Notamacropus eugenii: one gene and its partners. The protein of the gene in region 1 interacts with the protein of each later gene in a biochemical or structural test. Links are inferred from orthologs where the notes say so. Each region holds a gene or a part of one and is shown on either strand. Other genes may lie near its edges.

Region 1 (7,273 bases):
GGGTTGGTAGAACTGCACACAAAAATTCTACTTTTCCCATGATGAGCTTTGCCCTGTTATACCACCTGAAACTGCCCATCCAAAGATGTCTTCTTAGGCAAATATGGGAAGGACTGAAGAGCTGACAGGTCTTCCCTCTCTGGTTCCTTCACTGCTACTGTCTGATTGTTCTGCAAAGACATCCATGATTTCCTCAAGCTCTGGTGATATCTAAAACAAAATGAAAATATTTCCTCTGTTGTTCTGACCTCGTCTTTCTTAATCAATTACTATTCATGTGATCCTGGGGGGAAAAAAGTCACTTAACCTTTGCTTGTTTCCCCATCTGTAAAATAGTTATTTGTATTGCCTCTCAGCTTCGGGGTGGTTGTCAGGAAAATTTTTTGTAGATCTTAAAAAAAAAAAAAAATGAACTGTTACTATCAAAATAAAGGAACTAAATATAAAGAGGTTCCTGAGGTATGTGAACTTAAATGTGTGTATATATATATATGTTTATATGCATACACATATATAAACACACACATAAATATAATTTATTTTGTTTCAATATTGTTTCAATATAATTGGTTTCTTTTGTGATCATTTGTATTTTGTGCATTTAAAAACTTTATTCTCTGAAGGGAGACCACCAGTGGGTACAGGACACACTAACACCTGAAGCAAGCAAGCAGCATAGAGAGAATAGTGATAGAAGAGACAGACCAGGGGTGGGGAACCTGTGGCCCCAAGGCCACAAGTAGCACTCTAGGTCCTCAAGTTGGACTCTTTGATAGGATCCAAACTTCAGAGAACAAATCCCCTTAATAAAACTTGGACTCAGTTAAAAGTCTGCACCCAAGGACCTAGAAGGTCACATGTGGCCTTGATAGATCCTACTCCCTCCCCTCCTTCCTCCAGTACTCTCAGGACAGAGTAATAGAGAAACAAAGGGGGACTATAAGGAATAAGTTCTCACAAGTCAGTGGTTCCTCATTCTTTAGTCCTGGAGGAACAGAATTTACCTCTGTTCAAGGTAGGAGGGAGGGAAACAAAGTTCTTGAGAAACTGTAAATAATTTTCTGTTCATGACCTGTCATGGTAAAAAAAGAAAAAATGAATGCCTTCTTCTGGGAGTACCAGTTTAAATTTCTATGAATGCCCTTTCTATCCCTTTCCCTTTCCAGGGATCCCTTTCCTTCTTGGGCTCTGGGAATACTGCCTGGGAGGAACATGGTATCATTTGGAAATCTGAGGGCATCTTAAGGATTCTGAGTTTTACCTTTGACATCCTAGCACCCAACTTGGTTTGCTTCCATTGAGTAGTTTCAACCCTTCCAGAAGCGGATGTTCTGTCATAGTACTGGTCAGAAGAACTAAACTCAATGATGAGAAACCAGTTGGGGCTTGTAGTAATACCTGCCAGAGGGAGCCCCTGCCAGCCATGCATGGGCAACTTTCTTCCAGCCAGTGAGATGTTGGATATTCAGCTAAAAGGCCAACTCTGTGGGTACCACCCTGAGGTGTGTAAGGTGACAGGCCCAGGCAGGGCATTCTGACATGCTAGAGGGCATGAAATTTGAATCTGGGGTGTGTGTGGAATCTCAATTGCACATGTGTCTTAATAGCGACACAAAGAGATCACTTTAACCCTTGTTGAAAAGTCACGATGGAAAAAAAAAGTCTTGCTCTTTTCCCAAAGGTAACACACACACACACACACACACACACACACACATATGCACCCCCACCCCCACCCCCCCCACAGGGGAAGTGGATGTTCTGTTGTTTATTAGGAAGTATCTATTATATCCAAACACAAATGTATGAATGAAAAAATCCAGTGTATTTACCCCAACATTGAAAGGGGAGGAGGAGGGAAGGGGAGCATGGTTGATGTCTATGTGAACATTAGTAAGAATACCTGTAAACGAGATCATGGAATACAAGTGGACACATAGCAACTGAGGATAAAAGTAGCTTCTAAACTGCTCATGGTGGCCATGCCTCGGTTCTGAGAAACACTGAGAATAAGTGAGTTCTCCTAAGAAACACTTAACTCTCCAATGCTAACCTGCCTGGAAACAGTCTGGGAAGACAAGGGGCAGTTACTCAAGTCTGGAAGAAGTCCTCTCTCTCTCCCAGGAGAACTGTGGAAGTTTCTCAGCAAAACTTTCAAAGCCAATTAGGAGGTACTGTTAATTGATTTCCAATTCATCCATATTTAGTTGTCCTCTCTAAAGTTAAGGTCTAATTTTCTTTCCAATACCCAACATAATAGAACAGGATGCGTGTATGGGGCGGGAGGAGGGAGAGAGACAGAGAACGAATACACTTTGGGATAATGTATAAAAGACCCCAGAAAACATCAAAGTGCCAAGAAACGCTAGTTATTGATTCTTCCCTAATGGCTGTTTTTCTGAAGTTCCAAGTCCCCAGAACTCTTCACCTGCCTCTCTGTCTCCTGGGATCACGGAAGGGGATGGCTGGCCAGGTAGCTCACCCTAGCTATGAGTGGGACGGCACTGAATGCTCTTTGGGGATGCTTGCAGCTTTACACAAAAATTAACTGCGTGACCCCCCTGTCATACAACAGACGATCCCTTCTGCACGTCTGGGGGTTCCTCTTTGTGCCCCCAAAGCTCCTGGACCTAAGTCAGCAACACCGAAGTTGTGCCGAGCAGGCAGCGGAGAATTGGATCTGAAGATGTCACTTTTGATCACCCCCCCCTCCCCTCCCAAATGGCCCGAACCCTAAACGTCCTGCTCTTGCAGGGAATGATCCAGGACTCGCCCCCCGGCAGAGCTCCTCGAAAATGTAAAAGGAAAAGAATGATTGTGTAAAATCCCCAGCCACGGGGAAGGAAAGCCCGCTCCCCTACTTGCGCAGAGAACTGAGAGGCAGACAGCGCTGGAGGAGACTACACTGCGGCCCCTGGCCGTGTGAGGGAGAGTGAGTAAGAGATAAAAGCCCTCCCCCGGAGCGCGCACCCCGGCGAGCCCGGGGCCAGCGCCACCCTAGCTGCGGGGGGCGGGCCCGAGCCTTCCCCGAGGGCTTGCAGGAGCGGCCCCTCCGGAACAGTTCGGAGGCCGCCTGCAGGTGCAATCCCCGCACTGCCGAAGGGAGGCGGCCCGCCCGGCTGCGGGCGGGGAAGCCCGGGAAGCGGCGTCTAAGAATAGTCTACCCGCCCGCCCCCACGAGCGCAGCGGAGGGGGAGGGGAGGCCCTGGCCCCTCGCGGGTCTCCCCCGCCCCGCCGCTCCCCCCTGGCGCTGCCGCCGCCGCCGGGCGGCTCGGGAGGGACTGCCGAGCCAGAGGCTCTGCCACCTCCGATCCCACGGCGGAGGAAGGCAGACCCCGAAATCGCAGACACTCGGGGAACGTTTTTTTCGAAATTCCAGGCAAAGGGGGCTGCCCGGGTGGTCTCGGCCGGCCGCCCCAGCCCCCCGGCGGATCGCGGGCAGCCCGCGCCGTCCCGCCGAGCTCGGGGTGCGCGGCTCGCTCCGAGTGGAAGCTCCCTCCTTCTTCTCCTCCTCCTCCCGGGGAGAAGCCGCAATTGACGCACGAAGGGGGAGGGAGGGGAGAGAAGAAGGAAGCTTTCCAGCTCCGGCTGCGTGAAGCCGGGCCCGACCCACACGCTCTTCCCACCAGCCCGGCGTCGGCACGGCGGAAAGCCGAAGCGCGGGCCCAGCCAGCGCCCGGGCTCCGGACACACAGGGAGCCGGCCCCCCGCTTCTCCGCCTGCTTTACACACCTGAGGCGCCACGTGCCCCCCACCTCGGCCCACTTCGCCCGCCCCCGGAAGCGCGTTCCAAGCTCTAGCCCACGCGTGGGATCACATGTCACGCCTCCTCCACCACGCGGATCCTAAGGGCAGCGCTTGCCAAGGCTAAGGGGAGGAACGAAGGCATCCACATAGACGCGTATCTACACACATTCCTAATTAGTCCACCAACCCCAATGCCAGCAGTAACCCCTCTCCGTCTTTTCCACCCAGTTTCTCCCGTTTGCGTGTTCTCGCCCCATTTTGGTGTGTCTCGACCCACCCGCCCCTCTCCAGGCTCTTTTCCTCCCCTCTTGCCCCTACAGAGGGAGGTTGCGGCGGCGGCTGCCGCCCCTCCTTCCTTCCCAGCCTGGGAGAAAGGGAGGAGGGGGAGTGGGCGTGCCCGGGAGGTCTCCGGAGGGACACGCCCCCTCATGAATAGTAATAAGGAGCGCATGCGCCTTCCTGCTGCGGTCGGATAGAGTTAGAAGCCGTCTCCCAGACGGGCTCTCAGGGTTCTTCTCTGTGTGAGCCAGGCTGGAGGGCGAGCGCGGTGCGGGCGCGTGTTATTGTGTTACCTGTGAGGAAGCGGTGGCTTTTTTTTTCCCTTCCTTCCCTCCCTCCCTCCCCCCTTTTCCCTGCAGCCGATCTGAAAGGGAATAAAAGGCTGCGAATAATCATAATAATAAAAGAGAGCAGCCAGAGAGGAGGAAGAGGAGGAGGAGGAGGGGGGAGAGAGCAAGAAAAAAAAAGCGAAGAAATCAGAATAATAAAAGGAGGCTGGGCTCTTTTGCATTCAGGACCGGGACGCTATTGAAAAGGCTTTTGAAAAGTGGTGTTGTTTTCCAGCCGTGCATGCTCCCATCGGTGGAGTATATTAGCCGGGACGCGGCGGCCCCAGCAGCAGCGTTCAGTGTCTCCGCGACCGGCAGCCGAGGCTCCAGGACGAGGCGATGCTTTTACCACGGGCCCCCGTCCGGACTGAGTGCTCTTTAGGTCTGATCATCGCGCTGCTATGCTTGCGAGTGAAGGTACGTTGCACGGCCGCTGTCCTGCGCTGGGACGGGAGGAGCTGCGTGTGCCCGTGTGTGTGTGCGGGGGCCTTTCCTTTCTCCCTCGCCTTCTTCCCTTCCCCCTCCTGCCCCCCGTTAGTCACTTTCTCCAGAGTGGGTAATAAAGCTGTTTGCACCTTGGACTTGGAGGATTGCTGCCAGTGCCTCCCCGTCTTCGCCTCGCCTGCTTCTCGCCTTTCAGGACTATACGCTCCTTTTGTGGTTTTTTAGCATACGTACATACATATACCGTACCTAGATATTGAAACTCTTCTCCCCTTTGGGTGGTTTCTTTTACTACAGACGTGGTTCCCGTGCACTGCGGGGCTTAACTTGCTTTTATCCCAGTCGAGTCCTGCAGCCCCGCAGCTCTGCCCTTCCCTCGGAGTCGAGATTCTCTTTCTCAGCCTTCTTGGTTTGACGTTTATCTAGCACTAACAAATCCCTGCCCTTCTCCTTTTTCCCCTCGTCTCCAGGCTGGGGAAAACAATCACTTTAATTTCATTTCTTAGTTGTATGTGTGTGTGGTGGTGTGTTTTTTTTTCATAGAGTATTCAATTTCTTAATCCTTAAAAAAAAGTGGGAAACGTATTTTCACAGTTGTCACTATGAACTTTGCTGTTGCACGTCTTGTCCATGGGATGGGATTTCCATTTCTTCCTTCTCTTCCTCCACTCCCCCCTCCCCCGCATTAAAAAAAAATAGCCCAAGATAACTTTTTCAGAACTCTTTCTCTGGGGGGCTACTTAACAGGTGTCCTCGGCCTCGGGACAGTTCGAATTGGAGATCTTATCTATGCAAAACCTGAATGGGGAATTGCAGAATGGGAATTGCTGCCATGGCTCCCGAAATCCAGAGGATAGAAAATGCACCAGAGACGAGTGTGCTACTTACTTTAAAGTTTGCCTGAAGGAGTATCAGTCCCGGGTCACAGCAGGGGGGCCTTGCAGCTTCGGATCGGGATCTACGCCTGTCATCGGAGGGAATACTTTTAATCTGAAATCGAATCGGAATAGCGAAAGATACCGGATTGTTCTCCCTTTCAGTTTCGCCTGGCCGGTGAGTCCCAAGTTCTTTCTTGCTGTTTGCGTTTCCCTAGCGAGCGGCATTTAAAGGTCTCTATCCCTGAGCGTGTGTTCTCTTTCAGCTCCCCGTGGGGAAGTGAGGGTGGTGAAATCTTTGCTGAACGACTCGCGGAAATCCCCACGGGAGTTATGGAAAGCTCCAAGTCCCTGCAGAGCTAGGCGGCGAGCCGAGGGGGCTGTCGGCTAGGGGTTGGAAAGGGAGATTTATAACCGTGCAACTGCCTTGCGTGCTTCCTGAGCGTGCAAAGTTGGGAAGACTTAGCTGGTTTGCACGGGGGTCTTTGAGCAAGATGAAAAATCTGCATCAGTTGTGCAAAACGTTGTGCACTTAAGAGTCTGCTGGAATGAGGTCTGGGTCCCGCGCTATGCCTGCTTTCCCTCTCCCCTCCCTCGCCCCCGCCCCGGAGGAAATGAGAGGTCAAGAGTTCATCAGCAAAGTGCGGGGGTTTTTAACCATTGAAATCTGGTGCACCAGAGAAGGGAGAATGCAGTGATGGCCTGGGAGCGCGATCCAAAGGGGCACCCTCCCCTTTCCGTGAGCGGGTGGGGTGTGTCCTTACTGGAGGAGAAGCGGGTAGTAGGCGAGGGGAGAAGAGAGGGAGCCTGCCTTTCCTGCCAGGACCGGGTTGTCAGCTCTCGGCCTGGGGCTCGGGGCTCGTCGTCCCCGGTTCTGAGCTCCTCTGCAGCCCCCCGTCCAGCCCTTTACCGCGGCAGGGCCAGGAGACCCCCGGGCTTTGTGTTCGCTTGGGGAAGGGGCAGGAAGGACGCTCCTTTCCCGCCCTCGCCCCGAGCCCCCTGCTCCCCTCTCTCCGCGGTGCGGCTTCGTTTTCCGCGGTTCTCTGGCTCCTTGGAACAGCTGTGTTTTGCAAACTTCCCTGCTAAGTGCAGACCGCAGAGAAGGGAGGAGGTGGAGCCCGGAACCATGTGCTCTGGGAGGCACTGCGAGGAACCGCGAGAGCCTCCCCCTTCTGCCATCCTCGGGAGACCGGCTCCCAGGGAAGTGGCCCGGTCCGGGAAGGGTCTGCCTTCCTAACAGTTTTATTCTTTTTATGGCGGACAGGGAGGGGCTTGCGTTTTCTCTCTCTTTAAAGTAAAGGCCCCCCGAGGGACTTCCTTACTGCCCACTTTTGGGGGGAGGGAGGTGGGTCCTTCTCTTTTCTGCCATCCAGTGCAAACGTGCACGGTAAAGCGACAGGCCTTGGCAGTTGCCTCCCTTCTCCCAAAAGGATGTACTCGAAATGGTCTCTCCTTCAAAAGGAAGGCTTGGACAAAATTATCGCTACACCCTCTATCAGGGGCACGCCGAAATCTCTAGAAGCTGCGGTGAGGTGGGGAACTTTGGGTTTTAAAGCTGGGGGGGAGGGGGTCTCAGGGGCTGGGACTGGCCAGGCACCA
Region 2 (8,051 bases), on another chromosome or scaffold:
TGGAGTGGATTAGAAGGTGGTGTCCTTTGGCTGACTCCCAGAACAACAGTTCTCCCATTAAATCATTTTCTGAACTCAATTTGATGGTAATGAGCAAGTTTTTTTGCTAATACTAATTTTTTAAATGTTTATTCATTTTCTAACTTTTATTCTAACTAACATTCCAAATTCTCTCCCACCTTCCAGCCCCTCCCTCACCCATTGAGAAGGCAGCAGTAGGATGCCCATTAGATGTGATGTCATTCAAAACTTATTTTCAGATTAGTCATGTTTTTTGCTTTTACTATTAATTGAAGCACACAAGTGTTGCTTAAACTAACAATAATTAGTTTTAAAAGTACACAGTAAAGAGAAGTACAAGATTTCTGAATTCACCAGCTGTTCCATTATAGATAATTAGGTAGTCTTAAGGATTTATATAATATAATCTATAAGATTATATTATCTATGAGATTACATAATATTATGTTCAGCACTTTGACGGATCTCTTCACTGGATGGATCTCATGGCACTTCAGGATTTCTCGTATTCTATGATTCTTTCCTATTTCTTCCTGTAAATCCTCTGTTGAGAACCCATCCAACATCCTAGAGTCCTTCCTCTGATTCTCTCAATAGTTTGTGGATACCAGGACAATATATGGACTGCCCAGCTGTTAACTCACGCTCAACACATGAGCCACATACTTCCTTTTTCCCTTTCACACATCCTTGATGGTATCTTCTCATGTGCTAATTTTTGTTGGTGATAGGATGAGGTCTAATTATACTCACAGATCATACTTCTGATAATATATATATACATGTACACATTACATATATATGATATGTATGCATAAAAATGCATATTTATGAATGATTTCCCAAACAAGACCAATTTACTTATACACATCAAAAGAATTTCATGTAGCTATAATCAGTACAAAGTATCAAACAGGGTCTAACCCTCAAATATAGGAACAAGGTAAAAAAAAAAAGATGCTACCCTCTGTGATGATTAATAAGGCATGGCTTCTCAAATTTTGTCCTGGAATTCTCAGCAAGGGTAGATGTCTTCTCAGATTTTACCAAACTAAAATATAATGAATGTGGCTATGCATCATATTCTGGCTGTGGAGCTTTATGAATCCTGGGCCTACTAAGCAACTTTCTGACCCTACTCCTAAGGAGACTTTCCTACCAGGAAGTACATGTGCTCTCCTCTCAACATTAAATATTTTAGTCTAATTTCTAATTCTCTTTTTCAGCATAAAATTAGTAAATTGTCATTCTGGTTTGATCATTGACTCTTCAGGGAGATAGGCTGGAGTGAATCCGTTTTCTAGAACCAAATCTCCCATAGGTGAATTTATAAAACTTTGGTCCTAACCATATAAAGCTGCTAAAACTCATGGATTGTAATGACATTAATGACATATGGACAATTTTTACCAACACTTAATGCAAATTAACGAGACTAAGACATTGGCAAGTGTGTGTCCCCCCAATTACCAACTGCAGTGTCTCTCACATCCATCTGCTCCTTTCTATTATCCTCCTTTAAGGGACTCATTATCTCACATGAAGATTATGGTAAATATTCCCTTGTCTTCAGTCTCTACCTACTCCAATCTGTTCTACACACCACCAGCTGGTTGACCTCACTTTCCAGATAATGCACTGTGAGGTATCATGGTAGTGGAAGGAATACTGATCTGGAGTCAAAGGACAAAATCATGGAATGTAAGACTTGGAGAAGAACTCAGTGGCATAACTAGAAAGTTCAACCTGGCCATGAAAAGAAGCCACACTACAAAATACCCAACTTGCAGTTATTTAGCCTCTGCTTAAGGACCTCCAGGTAAGAGGAACCCATTCTCTCTTAAGGCATCCCATTCTACTTTTGAATAGCTCTTTTTTCCTGACATCAAGCCCAAGTTTACCTTTTTTTACTTCTACCCATTGGATTTGGTTCTACCCTCTAAGACCAAACAGAACAAATAGAATCCCTCCTCCAAATGAAAACCTTTGAGTATGTGAAGATGTTCTATTCACCTTGATTCATCTTTTCTGCATACTCTGCATGCCCAATACCATCAATGAAAACTCATATAACCCAGACTCAAGACCTTCCACCATGCTGGTTGCCCTTCTTTGGTAATTTTTTACCAATGTTATCAATGTCAACCATTGACAGAATATGTCTCCAGATGAGGCCTGATTATGGCAGAATACAACAGGCCTATCAGTTCCCAGCTGCTAGTAATTATGATTCTCCTGATGTACTTCAGGATTTTATTAGCTCTTTTTGGCTGCTAGACCTGGATTCAAGTCTTAGCCATGCCACTCACCAGCTTTGTGACCATGGTAAATCATATCCCTCCCTCCCCCAATTCTTAGTTTCCTAATCTGCAAAATGGGCCAATGGTATTTGTGGCTGGGTATAGTGGTTAGAGGCTAGTTTTAGAATTGGGAAGATCTGGGTTCAAGCCTTAATTCTGACACAGACTAGCTGTGTGATTATGGGCAAGCCGCTTAATTTCTTCAAACCCCAAGCAAGTCTCTAAAGTTACAAATTATACAGACCAGTTGCGAGAACTGCTCCATAATTTTGAATGTATAGTTCCCACATCTGGAGTTCTCCAATGAAATAATAAGTCCAGATACACATATACCCAGTTTAAAAAAAAGAAGAAAAGGGATTTTTGTGGGGGCAAAGCACTCTAAATTGTAAATTAATATATAAATGTGAGCTATAATTTTTATATTATAGCAAGTTGTATTTCCTATTTCCCCACTAGGCCATTCCATATTGTAGTTAAAAAAATGTTTCTCTACCAGTACCTAGCACAGTGCTCTGAACATAGTAGGGGTATTTGATGAATTGAAATTTGATGAATTGAAATGTGTCTGTTTTTCCATGTACTAGTGATGTCATAGAAGGACAAATCATTTAACCACTTTATGACTCAGTTTTCTCTTCAGTAAGATTATTATCTACTCTTCTGTAGTTTTGTGCCACTTTTGGGCTCAAAATCCTTCAGTGGCCTCCCATTGTTAACAAGCTAAATTTTAAACTGGCATTTCATCATCTGACTCCTATCTCTTTCCAGGCTCATTCTTACCACTTTTCTAGGCACAAGCATTCTGCTTCCTTTCTTTGCATGTTTGTTTGCGTGTCCCCTATCTAGAATACCTGTTTTCTTCTTCAGATACTTCCCATTTTCAAGGACCACATCAAGTCCTACTTGCAGTTTATGTTATTGACTCAGCCCACAGTGATTCTCCCTTCTCTGGGCACCTCTGCTCCTATCATCTTGCACTTATCACGTCTTGTATTGTTACTTGACTTTTCGGTGAGTGTCAGTGTTGGCAACTAGACTGTAAGTAGGTTATATGGTGACAAGGATGTGCTAGAGCTTGGATATTTGTACCTCAGAAATCAGCAAAACAATCAGGACTTGATTTATTATTTTGTTGATCATCTAGACTTTAGAAAGTGATGGAGAAAATGTTAATAATGCAGATTAAATTTAAAAGTGTGTCATGGGTATGTACTTTAAAAAAATTTTTGGAGAGCAGTTTGTTAAACATTTACCAGCTCACCTCTGGTAGGGGCTTAGAAGTATAACAACCCTCTGAGTTGAAAAACTCAATAAATATTTGTTTAAAGAATGGTAAGCTGCCTCTACCCTGTTCTGCTTCCTGTTCCCCAAATTTCTCCTTAACCATGGTCCTCCTTCATGACACTGATGTATAACCTTTGGGTAGAAGGGCAGCATTATGTATACATATACATATATATATACACACATATATATGTATACATATATATATAATAGGGATTTAACCTAGGAAAGATCTTAAAGTTCCAACTCCCTCCTTTTATAGATGAGGAAACTGAGATCCAGGCAGCTAGGTGGTGCAGTGGATAATAGCTCAGGGCTTATAGGTGGGAAGACCTGAGTTCAAATCCAATACTTACTAGTTGTGTGACCCTAGGCAAGTCAATTACCCCATTTGCCTCAGTTTCCTCATCTATGAAATGAGCTGAAGAAGGAAGTGCCAAACCATTCCATTATCTTTGCCAAGAAAACCCTAAATGGGGTCAGAAAGAGTCGGACATGACTGAAAATGACTCAAACAACAATGACTCAGACTCAACCTGAGGCTAATAGAGGCTCATAAATGACATGGCCATAGTCACACAAGTAAAAGTGGAGTACCTATTTTCTTTTTTACACATGAGGAAACTGAGGCCAAGAAAGATTAAATGACTTGCCCAGAGTTGCCCAAGTAATGATCAGAATAGTGGGGATTTGAACCCCAATCCAGCTCTGTCCACTGCAGTGTAGCCTAAAGGTAAAGGCCTAAAAAGGCCAAGGTCTCCCATTGCATCCTGGGCCATCGCCCTGATGAATATCTGGTCACTGGAACCAGACGTCTCAGAAGGAGAAAGTGAGGCTAGTGACCTTGCACAGCCCTCCCTCACTCAAATCAAAGTCAAGTGCAAGTCATGTCATCATTCTTCTCCATCATAAAGGTGAAGGTAGAGGCTGCTCCCGTCTCTTCCAGCTGTAAATCGAAGGTGCTAGGACCTTCCCAAGGTCACCCAGTGAGAGGGCCTAGGTCTTCTGATTCTAACCCAAATTTCTTCCCATCACACCGGACCTCCCTGTAGAGCCCAATGCTCTAGGCTCGGGCTCCCCGACCTCTTCTCCATCAGCACGCGCTCCTGCCCACGCTGGCGAGATCTCCAGCATCGACAGGGTTAAACCAGAGTCTCCGGCCCCGACCCGCGACTAGAAGGAATGGGGGGTGGGGGGGGGGAGCGGGAGGGAATCGTAGTAGATCCCTCCGCGGGGAAATCGTGCCGGAACTTTTTCGTGCGGGAAACCCCGGGGTACGGAAGGCGGCGGCTGCTGCTGCTGGGGAGGCGAGGAGGAGAAGGAGGAAGAGGAGGAGGAGAGCCGGGGAGGAGAGCCGGGGAGTAGGAGGGCGGGGCTTTCCCCAGGGGGAGGAGGGCCGAGGCGGAAGGACACACGAGGCTGAGAGAAGCAGAAACTTTCTGCCAAACTCCGGGAGGCGGCGGTGTCTGGAGCTGGAGCTGGTGCTGCGCGAATCCCGGGGCGCGGGGCGATCTGGGGCCCCCGCACTAAGGTCCTAGCGCCGCGGCTGAAGCTAGACAGTGGGGGGGCTCCCCAGCAGGGACCCCCCCGCCCCATGTGGATCCGCTTGGGTGGAGGAGGAGGAGTTGACCGAGAAGATGCCCGCCCTGAGTCCTGCCCCGCTCTGCCTGCTGCTAGTTCTCTGGCTGTGCCAGGGCGCGCCCACCCTAGGTGAGTATCTCCAGGTGGCCGAAGTGGGCTCTCTCCGCCCCCCGGTCACTCCGGGGTCCACCCTTTTCCTTTCCCTTCCCGGGCCACCCGCAGTTACTCTCCGCCTTCCGCGCCGGGGCACGGGGAAAGGTGGGGGGCTCTGGGCTTGCCGGACTCTCTGCAGCTTTCCCTGGGAGTGAAGCACTTTGATTAAGGAAAGCTCCGGACGTCTTCAGTTCCTTCTCCTCAGAGATGGGCGGGGGAGGGGAGCCGCACGCCCCCTCCTCTTCCCCGGCCCGAGCAGGGGTGGGAGGGGGCCGCTGGAGGCTCGGCCGCCGAGGACTGGGCGAGAGCCGAGCTGACCTCGGGCCCTGCCTAGCCTAACAAAGGGTTACAGTTCAGCAGGCTGCGAGCCGCACGCCCCTAGCGCTTCTGGCTCCTGGAATGCCAGACGCCCTCGTGGGGGGAGGTCGCCCTCGGACCGAGCCGATCTTACCTTCCCTGTCCGGGAATGTTAGATCAGAGCCCCAGCCTGGGCTCTGGGTGAAGGGGCAGGGTCCACCGAGCCCAGCCCAGTCGGACAGAAGTTTATTAAGCCCTGACTGTGTGCTGGGCAGCCCGCCTTGGATTTCTGACAGTCTCCCTTCTGCCTGGGTATCTCGGGAGTCTCGTGGGCATTGCCTGCATTGTGGCAGAAGAGGGAAAAAACTCATGTGGCTGCCTACTAAAGCAATTAAAATTTCGATGGCTGTCATTCCCTCAAAGACACAGATCCCCGCATTTATCTTTGGGAACCCGGCGGGGGCGGGGGCGGGCGCGGGCGGGGGTGCAACTTGTAAGAACTGCTATGTGACATTGACCGTCTACTTCAACTTGGAGGCAGTATTGGGCTTCTCTTCAGTGATCTCACCCGCCCCCTGTAGAGAGTGGGTTGAGTGGGAGGGGTAACACTTATTCTCAAAGTGCCTTAATTAGGATGTCTTCTAAGAGTTATAAAAACCTGTCTCTGAACGCATTTGAAGGTCATTTTGCTAAAGAAAAAAAAAGTGGGGGGGGGGGGGGGAAGGAATCTAAATAATGAAACTGTCTTTTCCAGGAAGAATTTTACTAAAACCACAAACGAGAACTGTTCTTACTTTTAAAGTAAAGGTATTCAGCTTTGAGGTGATTTTTGTCTATTCTCAATTTTGAATACCAGGAGATGTTAAAAAATGCACACTAGGTTTTTTTTTTGTTTTTTTGTTTTTTTTTTTAAGAGAGTAGAGGTATCCTTCCACCTGAAAACGTAGACGTAGGCATTTTCTGGTGCAAATGCACCTGCCCAAGGATATCAGAGGTGAACCAAAGATATGTGTAGAAAGAACCGTGATTATACTTTCTGATGTAGTAGCGTCAGTGAAAAGCATGGAGAAACATTTCAAGTTGTCTAAGCCCCTTTCTTCTCCTTAAAATGAAAGAAATGATGTAATGTGTGATTGGGGTGGGTGGAGGTGGCAAAATTAGTAAGATCAGATGGACGCTTGAGTCTAGGGAGTTGTAATCCTCACTCATTCTCTTAGTTTGTTTTGGCAAGTTAACTAATCTCTCTGACCCTCAGTTTCCTTGTTGTTTAAAAAAAAAAAGATGGGAAATAAATAAAACTTTCCAGACTCATTGGGGCAGAACTAATAGATGAGATTAAAAGACACAGTACAAAATTGTGCAAAATAAGAAGAAAATAGAATTCCTTTCTGTGAAGAGGGGACGTTTCTCGTTTAAGGATCCTCCAACACTGATTTGTGTCTCCCTAGCTGTGCAGGTGGCAGGTATTGGCATCCCTGTCTTACAAGTGGAGAATCTGAGCGTTAAACTAGTAAATAGAATCCTCAGTTTTCTATGCTGTATACTTGACTGCCCAAGGGAGGGTAAACCCTACTTTTTAGTGACTATCCTGAATTACACCAAATTAATAACTGTGAACTCTTTTCTGAAAATCTCCATCTTTTATCACTTGGGTTCTCCCAAGGTACCAATTAGAACACGCCTTCTGACCCTTTGAATCTCTTGTATTGGGCTTGTGGCCAGGATGTAATTTACACATCATTGAGTTCTCCAGCCGAGATCTGTCAGCCCTATTCTTCTGGTTCTGCGAACAGCCGTCTGTGACCACACCTATATCCCAGGATCTCCTTTCCCTGCAGTTGGTAGGTACTTTTCAGATCTTGCTACCAATTTGATAATTCACCTTGATCTGGTGAATTTCTATAGAATCCCCTCCTTGACTTTTGTCTTACAAATATCTTTTGAAAATGTCATACTCTTGTCAATTTATTTGAATACTATGACAAAAGGCACAATAAAACAAAAGAGCATAATTTTTTGCCTCTTTTTTTTTCCTTTGCACTGCTCTCCTTTCTCTTTTTTATGACATTCGAGGTAGGAAGGTAGGGTACAGGGAGACATTCTTGACTGACTTTTCTCAAGAAGTGGCATTAATTTTAACCCACTGTACTGCCCTCCCTAGGTTGATTGTTTCCAATTTATTCTGTATATTGCCTGTATATTGTCTCCTTCATTAGACTGATCTCTTTGAGTGCAGGGTCTGTCTTTTGCCTTTCTTTGTATCCCTAGTGCTTAGCACAGTGAATGGAAGCATTTAATAAATGTTTGTTGACTGACTGAGTGCTCGATTCAGGAGGTGACCTTTGTCCTCTCCCTGCTTTGTCTCTGTGCTCTCCAACTGCTGAAAGGGGTACTTTGTCACATGGATTGTGA
Region 3 (7,536 bases), about 95 Mb from region 1:
CTTTGTGTGAAGAAAAACAAAACAAAATTAACCCTTCTAACAACTGGGGCTATCTAAAAGTGGAACAGACTGCCTCAGGGAGGCTGTGAGTCTGTTGGAGATCTTCAAGTAAAGGCTAGATCACTTGTTCACTTTTAAGGGATATTGTAGAGAGGATCTTCTTTAGAAATAGGTTGCATTAATGAAAACAGCCCTGGCTTTCCATCTTACAGCCATCATTTTGGCAAAGATGAACAAAAGAATGGAAAATGACAATTGTTGGAGTAGCTGCAGGAAAAAAGGCAACTCTTTTGTATGTACTGTTGGGAGAAGTGTGAGTTGGTACCATTCTAGAAAGCAATTTGGGACCATACTCCCCAAAAATTGCTAACCTTTTCATATCCTTTCACCAACTGATATTGCTATTGGGTTAAAACCCAGAGATGAAGGAAAGAGAAAAAAGGATTAATTTGTACAAAAACATTTAAAGGAGCACTTTTTCTCATATTAAAGAATTAGAAATAAGGGGAGTACTTATCCATTGGAAAATGGATGAGTAAGTAATTTGTGGTCTATGAAAGGGATGGATTCACAGACTTGTATATATGATTGTATATAGAGCGAATTAAGTAGAATCAGGGAAACAATTTATTTAATAGCTATAACACTGTACAGAAAAGCAACTTTGGAGGACTTGATTAAGTATTTTGATCAAATAGAGAACCACCATCATTCCAGAAGATTCGTGATGAATCTTAACTCCCTAATTTTGACAGAGAGGTCTAAAGGTTCAGAATGTGACATACATTTTCTGACATGGCCATTGTATAGATCTGTTCTGCTTGACTATACTTATCTGTTGCAAGGAAAAAAAATCTTTGGAGGATGGGGGAGAAATCATGAAGGGAGCAGTAATAGTGATGCCAAAATAAGAAGAAAAAAGATTGTTAATGAAACATTTCTTTATTAAATACACAGAAGAGATCAGAAGGAAATTCAGAAAGAGACACAGGTGAACAAGAATGTATTGGAATTACCATGTAGATTTATTATAGATTTATAAAGATAATAACCATGATTTCAGTAATTGAGATTCATATGCAATTCTTTTTCTATTCTTTGTATATAAAACTAATCAAGGAGATAGATGTCAAGTCAATAAAAATGATTAAAACATTTGAAACACTTTTGAAAATGTATTGAATTAGATGACCTTTGAAATCTTTTCTAACTCTGAGGTTCTGATATAGTCTGAGTAGTGAACTGGGATAGACCGTCTACTTCCAGCCAGGCCAAGTAAATTCTGGGATCCATCCTATGATCTTGTGGGACAGAGTGGGTGGAAAAACGGCCACTCAACTGTGAAGTTGCTGAACTTAACGTCTCTCTGCTTAAGTAACCTTTAATGTTAGACTTTGGTTTCCTTTGATGAAAAGATTCTTCAAACAAACAGACTCAAGTATCTAGGAACCCTCCACAAAGTGCTTGAGAACATAATTTGTTACCAACTTTGGGGAAGTGTTTGTAAATAAGGTAGAGAAAGTCTTCAGAAGCTCAATTTGTAAATGAAAAGGTTTTAGCTACTCTGGTAAGGATAGTTGTGGTCTACTGCTTTCTAAGGTAATGCATCCACATAAAGCCAGCTAGTTCATTAAAAAGAGAAGAGAATGGCTTAAAATTTTTGTATAAATCAATGAAATATCTCCCCCAGCACCTAACACAGTACAAAGTAGGTTTAACAGATGGTTGTTTAATGGAATCAAAGCAAATGCAGGCCTACAGACCTTGAGATAGAAGGGATTTTGACGCTTGGATTTATTTTTGAGTATGTTTTCACACACCTAGACACCATCTGGAACTTTGTTGGGTTTTTGACATGGGGTCTATTTAGATGGATACAATCTCACTATCCTTTTCTTCCAACTTCATGTTGGACTCACAAGGCCATAAGTTTGGAGAGAGTAGAAGGCAGGAGTTGAGGATGGGGATGGGGGAAACAGAGGGTGGTGGAAATACTATATTCTTTGACAGCATTTTCTCTCACTTCTCAAATCCTTGCAATCTGGCTTCTGATCTCATTGTTCAAATGAAACTGCTCCCTCAAAATTACCAATGATCTCTTAATTAGTCAAATCTAATGGCTTTTTCTCAGTTCTCATCCTTCTTGACCTTGCTATAGCATAGGACACTTGCTAATAACTCTCTGCTCCCATCTCCTCTCTCTTCTCTGAGTATTGTCATCCAATTCTCCACCTATTTGTCTGGCTATTCGTTTATCAAGGATGAGCACACCCCTGAAACTGCTCTCCTGGGTCACCATCCATGGCCCATACTCTAATGGGGTATGCCCCAAGAGTCTGTCCTGTGATCTCTACACTCTACTCTCTCTACCACAATCTCATCCATCCACTTATCTTTTTGGTGATAATTTCCAGATCTACAACTATAGATCTCCCTATGGTCCATCATCAACTGATTGTTGGACTTTTCCACTGAGAGGTCCCATAGGCAGCTCAACTCAACAAGTCCAAAGTAGGTAGAATTCATTATCTTTTCCCCCAAACTCATACATCTTCCCAATTTTCCTCTTTCCTTTGAGGATACCATCACCCTCTCAGTAACTCAAGTTTGAAATTGAAATCTTAGAGTCATTCCTGACTTTTCATTCTTCCTGATTACCCATATCTAATTAGTTATCAAGTTTTGTTGATCTTCAGCCATAAAATTTCTGGCCTCTTCTCTACGCTCTGGATGCTACTATGATGCTACTACTACATGCTACTACTCTAGCCTAGGACCTCATCCCTCTAGAATGGGATAATGCAGAGGTGTCCCAGTTGGTCTCCCTGCCTCTAGACCCTCTCCTCTCCAAAACATCCTCCACCAAGCTGTGACAACAACCTGAGGCCTAAAGATCTGCCTCAGTCATTTATCTGTTCAAAGAGCTCCAAAGGCTCTTTATTGCTTTTAAGATAAAAATACCATCTCCTTTGGCATTCAGAGATTTTCACACTGACTCCAAAAAACCTTTCCAGACTCCTTGCACATTATTCCACTTCATACACACTACATTCCTGTTAAATGGCCTATTTGCTTCTCTTGGTACATAACATTCCATCTCCTGCCTGTGTAGAGACCCCCCAGCTTGGTATCCCTTAGCAGCTTCAAAATCTAGGACAAGTCCCTCTTTTATATACAGCCCTTCCTGATCTTTCCCAACACCTAGTGTCTCTTCTCTCCCCCATCCTATCTACTTTTTATTTACAGGGTATGGATTTCGTGCTTACTTGTATGTGTAGATAGTTCCCCAACAGAATTAATAAGCTTCTTGAGGGCAAAAACTGTTTGTTTTTTGTCTTTGTATCTCTAGTGATATAGTTCCTGGTATATAGTAAGTGGTTAAATAAATACTTGCTGATTGGTTGGATTTGGAGTCTTGGGACCTGGATTCAAATCCTGCCTCTAATACACACTATCAGTGTGAATTTGGACAAAGCCTCTTAACCCTCTCTATGTCTTTCAACGAGAGGTTGGAATAGATGACCTCCGTGGCACCCGAAAACCTACCCCTCTAAGAGAGTCAAGTGCACGAAGACGTCATGGTCAAATGTGTTCAAGTCCCCAGTCACCTTCCTATGGACCCGTCTGGTCTCCTAGAAGTGCCCAGAGTTACAGGGAATGAGGGGGTGGAGGGAAAGAGATCAGGATGAATGCACAAACCTGTCTGTGCTCCACGATTAATTCCTAAGTTAGGAAAGGGGGATTTAGGTCACCCCCAAGTCTTACCCAAATCCAACATCCACTCCAGGAAAGCTCTCGAGGGTGGGGCCCGAGAATACTCCTCCAAACCCAAGTCCCCCTAGCCCAGCTCACTGCCTTTTAAGGCATTCAGATCAGTCTTTGGGACAATCCCTGGCTCTTCGTCCTGAACGTTCCTTCCACTTTCCCTGTCTTCTCTACCTCTGCATGAAGTCCCCACAGAGCATCCCGTAGAGGGAGGCCGGAGACAAGGTTAGGAAGGGAAGGTGGCTGGGACTAAGCACACCCTACGCTCCACTCTGCTGGTCCCCGGCCCCGAAACCAGTGGCTCCTCCATTGACATGCAAATACGTAAAAGACTAGGCGAAGAACAGAAACTTCATGCAAGAACCAAGAATCCCTCCGCAAGCTCACAACAAACTTTCAGTAGTTTCTGAAACTTTCAAACGAGAAGTAGTCCCCTGGCACGGGAGGCCCTCCCAGCCCCAGAAAAGTATTCGGGGTTCTTCAAGAGAGCTTTGGACACCCCAGAAAGCATCTTCGGCCCGCGGTCTCTCCGGGGAGCTCTGGAGCTGAGAGAAGCGAAGCTCCATAGGGAGGGGGTGGAGGGGGAGCGGAAGGATTCGGAGAAGAGGGAGGTTCACGGCTGGGGTGGGGGGGAGGAGCAGGAGGAGTGGGAGAGGCGCGGAGCTCGCAGCTTCACTTAGTGTCTTGGCAGCTGTAGGTTACGTAGGGTTGAGCCGGAGCGGCGCGGAGAAGTCTGCGAGGAAGCGAGGGAACGAGGGAACTCGGGCAGTGCGTGCGCGCCCGTCCGCCTGCCGAGAAAGGGAAGACGAGGGCGAGATTGGCTCCCTAGCTGAGAGACGCTGCTTAGGATTTCCCTGCCCGTTCGGAGACCTTATGTCACTCTGAGCCTTTCTGGGATTGCCCGAGCGAAGCGCCGCTGGGGGAGAGCTGGCCGCTGCTGGAGGCATGCGGCCGCTCCTAGTGCCCGTCGTCTGTCTGTCGCTGCTGCCGGTCCTCGCACGAGGTAGGACTTGGGGCTGCTCCAGTGGAGATCGGAACCCCCAGATCTGGGGGTGGGAGAACAATCTGGCGGGGCGGGCAAGCCCGCAAACTTTGTGCACCGTTGGAGAAAACTTTTTTCCTCCTGGAAAAGAGACGCGGCTAATCCAGCCAGTATTGGGGAGAGAGTGAACAGGCATGGATTGTACAAGGGGAGGGGAAAGCAACCTGGCTTGGTCACTACGGGCATCGTGTGATGGTGCAGGCAGCAGCGAAACGGGTGGGTGGGTGAGTGGGAATGTCAGTACCTCCCTGGCCGGGATGGGACCCCCTGGAGTCACCTTTTCCCAGCTTTGCGCCCCTGGCTATGTGCAAGATGTCATCCATCCCCAGTTTCCCCACTTTCCGGGAGACTCTTGGCTGCAGGGAAGACTACTCCCTCCCCCAATTTGGGGGCTCTGTTTAGGGAGGGGATTGAGGTGGCACCGGGAGGGGAAGGTGCGGAGTGTGGCTTGTGTGTCCAAACTGATGGAAATATAGGGAGGGTTCCAGATGCCTTGGAGGCTGAGGCTAAGTTCTTGAACGACCCTTACTCTCCGCCTGCTTTCTCTCCCGCCCCCTTCCAAATCTGCATCCCCCTACCCGCAGTCAAACCTGCATTTCTCCATGCACTGCCAAACCTACATTCCCCCCCTACCCCGCGCTCCCGCCCCGGGCCAAACCTGCATCCCCCCATCCCCCCCCCCGCTTTGGGTTTTTTCTCCGCTGGCTGAGTTCTTTCTATTCGAACTTGAGTCAGGTTTCCTGTTCTCTCTGGTCTTTTCTTCTCCGTCTGCCCACTCCACTTTCGGGTCGAGGGCTGGGGGCGGATGTCAGCGGCGCGGGGTTTTCGGGCTCAGAACAGTGTTGAGTTTTTGCGAGGAAACCGACGGAAGCCCGCTCCCCGGTGCCGTAGCGGGGGGGGGGGGGGGAATATGTGGCCCCACTCCCTGGGGCTGCAAGGGCTCTGCATTCCGGCCGTTGTGCTGACCTTGGCCACTCTGGTGGGAGAGCCGTCCCGCAGGCTACGGGAAAGTTGCTTGAAGCTTAAGGGATGAGTAACTTTTTGGTCCAAAAACCTAAAACTTCTAAGCATCTGTAACCCTTCCTGGAAAAAAAGGCGGGGGAGGGAAGAAAAAAAAGTTTCACAGAACATTCTCTGGCTCCTGTGATCTCACCCTCTACTTTGGAGTTTTCTTTTCTCCTGACCTTAAGGAATGACAACTCTCTCGGGACTGGGAGAACGTTCACTTGCAGGGGGCCCCCCATACGGCTCCCTCCTCCCCCTCAGCCCACGGAGCAGCGATGAGTCAGGCAGCCCTCTGCCGGGTGTCCTCCACTCACTGCCTCCCTCCTCTCTGCTTCCCACGCTTCGTGGGCGCCCCTCCCCGAGCGGTGCAAAGAAGAACAACACTGCCTAACCCTCCTCGCCCCTCTTTGAAAAAAGTGTTAAAAGAAAAAAAAAGGCCGCAGACTTTGGGCACAGCTCTCCCCGCCGCCCCCAGCCCACCCCAAACTCTTAATTTCAGTTGACTCTCCAAGAAAGGAGGTCGCTAGAGGGGACGGGCCCACTAGATTCTCATGTTTGATATATATAGCCCGAACCCCTCATTGGGGCTTTAAGTTGGGGAAGCACTTCTCTCTCTGCCCAGGAATGGAACCGGGATGGTGGAGGGGGGTGTCCGCGGAATTCTGTGAATTGGCCCAGCATTTGAGGGGTGGGGGGTGAGGTGGAGGCGGGCCCATTGGTGCACCTCAGATCTTCCCGGGAGCAGGTATTGAGTGTCCCGGGAGGTAATATTCAATCCTAGCCCTACAGTCAATAATGCAACAAGAGGTGTCTTTAAACGAGTTACAATGGGCGGCTCTGATTCCCGCTTTGTTGGAGTTCAGGGGAAGCTGGGCCCCGCAGCTGTCGCATTTTCCCACGAACCAGGAGGGGAGTGTGTGCGGCTTGCTTTGGGGCCATTCAGACTCCCCCTCCAGGACTGGCTAGATAAGTCACTTTACCATGAATGTTTGAACAGGCAGACAATTCACTGCATTTCTGAGCGCTCACTGTAGTCTGAGCTCCCCCCCCCCCACTCCCTCCTCCCTCTTCTCTCTCCTCCCTTTTCCTCTCTTTCCCTTCCCTCCTCCCCTTTGAAAGAGATGTGGATCTCCCCTCAAGTATAGGCTTCTGGTTGGGTGGGCGAGAAGGGAGATCGAGGGAAGTTTGGGAAAGTCATGCTGGTGGAATTTTTGAGTAGTTGAATTGGTCAGATTGGCTTCTGGGTAACTTTTCCCATCCTTTGCCAAGTTATTGTGCAATTTAGAGCTAGTAGGCTGGGATAGACCTTGGATAGCTGGCTTTATAGAAACAGCCCAACTTTCAGTCTATCATTCTTCCTTCCTACCTCCTTGTTGACTTCATTAAGAAAATCAAAAGAATTCATTAGAAGGGTTATCTGCCCTTAAGAAATCTGGTACCTGTGTATGTTTCTATACATACATACCTGTATTTATATGTGGAAGTGGATGTACACACATATGATAGATGTAGAATATTTACTGAATGTACATTTTTCTTCTACAACTGACTCAACAGTTCAGCAATAATGAATATTTACTAAGTGCTTATGATGGTATAAATAGATTATAGTACTATGCTAGATGGAATGGGATGGGGAAGATAACAAAATTAAGAAGTTAAATAAGAATAAAGAAGGGGGTTGGACAAGATACTCTCTAAGGTTTCTTCCAGCTCAAATTTAT

The links.
Region 2: the proteins of JAG1 (region 1) and NOTCH2 form a complex in vitro, tested with the Homo sapiens proteins (2 studies listed by BioGRID). The link is inferred for Notamacropus eugenii from reciprocal best matches to the Homo sapiens genes JAG1 and NOTCH2.
Region 3: the proteins of JAG1 (region 1) and NOTCH1 form a complex in vitro, tested with the Homo sapiens proteins (3 studies listed by BioGRID and IntAct, with this or other methods). The link is inferred for Notamacropus eugenii from reciprocal best matches to the Homo sapiens genes JAG1 and NOTCH1.

Annotation. Positions count from the first base shown.
Region 1 is NC_092872.1:584,019,374-584,026,646, reverse strand, and holds the start of JAG1 (protein jagged-1), read left to right. Parts: upstream 1-4,207; 5' UTR 4,208-4,694; coding exon 4,695-4,772; intron 4,773-5,546; coding exon 5,547-5,852; intron 5,853-7,056; exon of another isoform or gene 7,057-7,116; coding exon of another isoform or gene 7,117-7,206; intron 7,207-7,273. UniProt on the Homo sapiens protein: Ligand for multiple Notch receptors and involved in the mediation of Notch signaling. May be involved in cell-fate decisions during hematopoiesis. Seems to be involved in early and late stages of mammalian cardiovascular development.
Region 2 is NC_092873.1:300,122,201-300,130,251, reverse strand, and holds the start of NOTCH2 (neurogenic locus notch homolog protein 2), read left to right. Parts: upstream 1-4,992; 5' UTR 4,993-5,245; coding exon 5,246-5,318; intron 5,319-8,051. UniProt on the Homo sapiens protein: Functions as a receptor for membrane-bound ligands Jagged-1 (JAG1), Jagged-2 (JAG2) and Delta-1 (DLL1) to regulate cell-fate determination.
Region 3 is NC_092872.1:489,518,534-489,526,069, forward strand, and holds the start of NOTCH1 (neurogenic locus notch homolog protein 1), read left to right. Parts: upstream 1-4,438; 5' UTR 4,439-4,710; coding exon 4,711-4,768; intron 4,769-7,536. UniProt on the Homo sapiens protein: Functions as a receptor for membrane-bound ligands Jagged-1 (JAG1), Jagged-2 (JAG2) and Delta-1 (DLL1) to regulate cell-fate determination.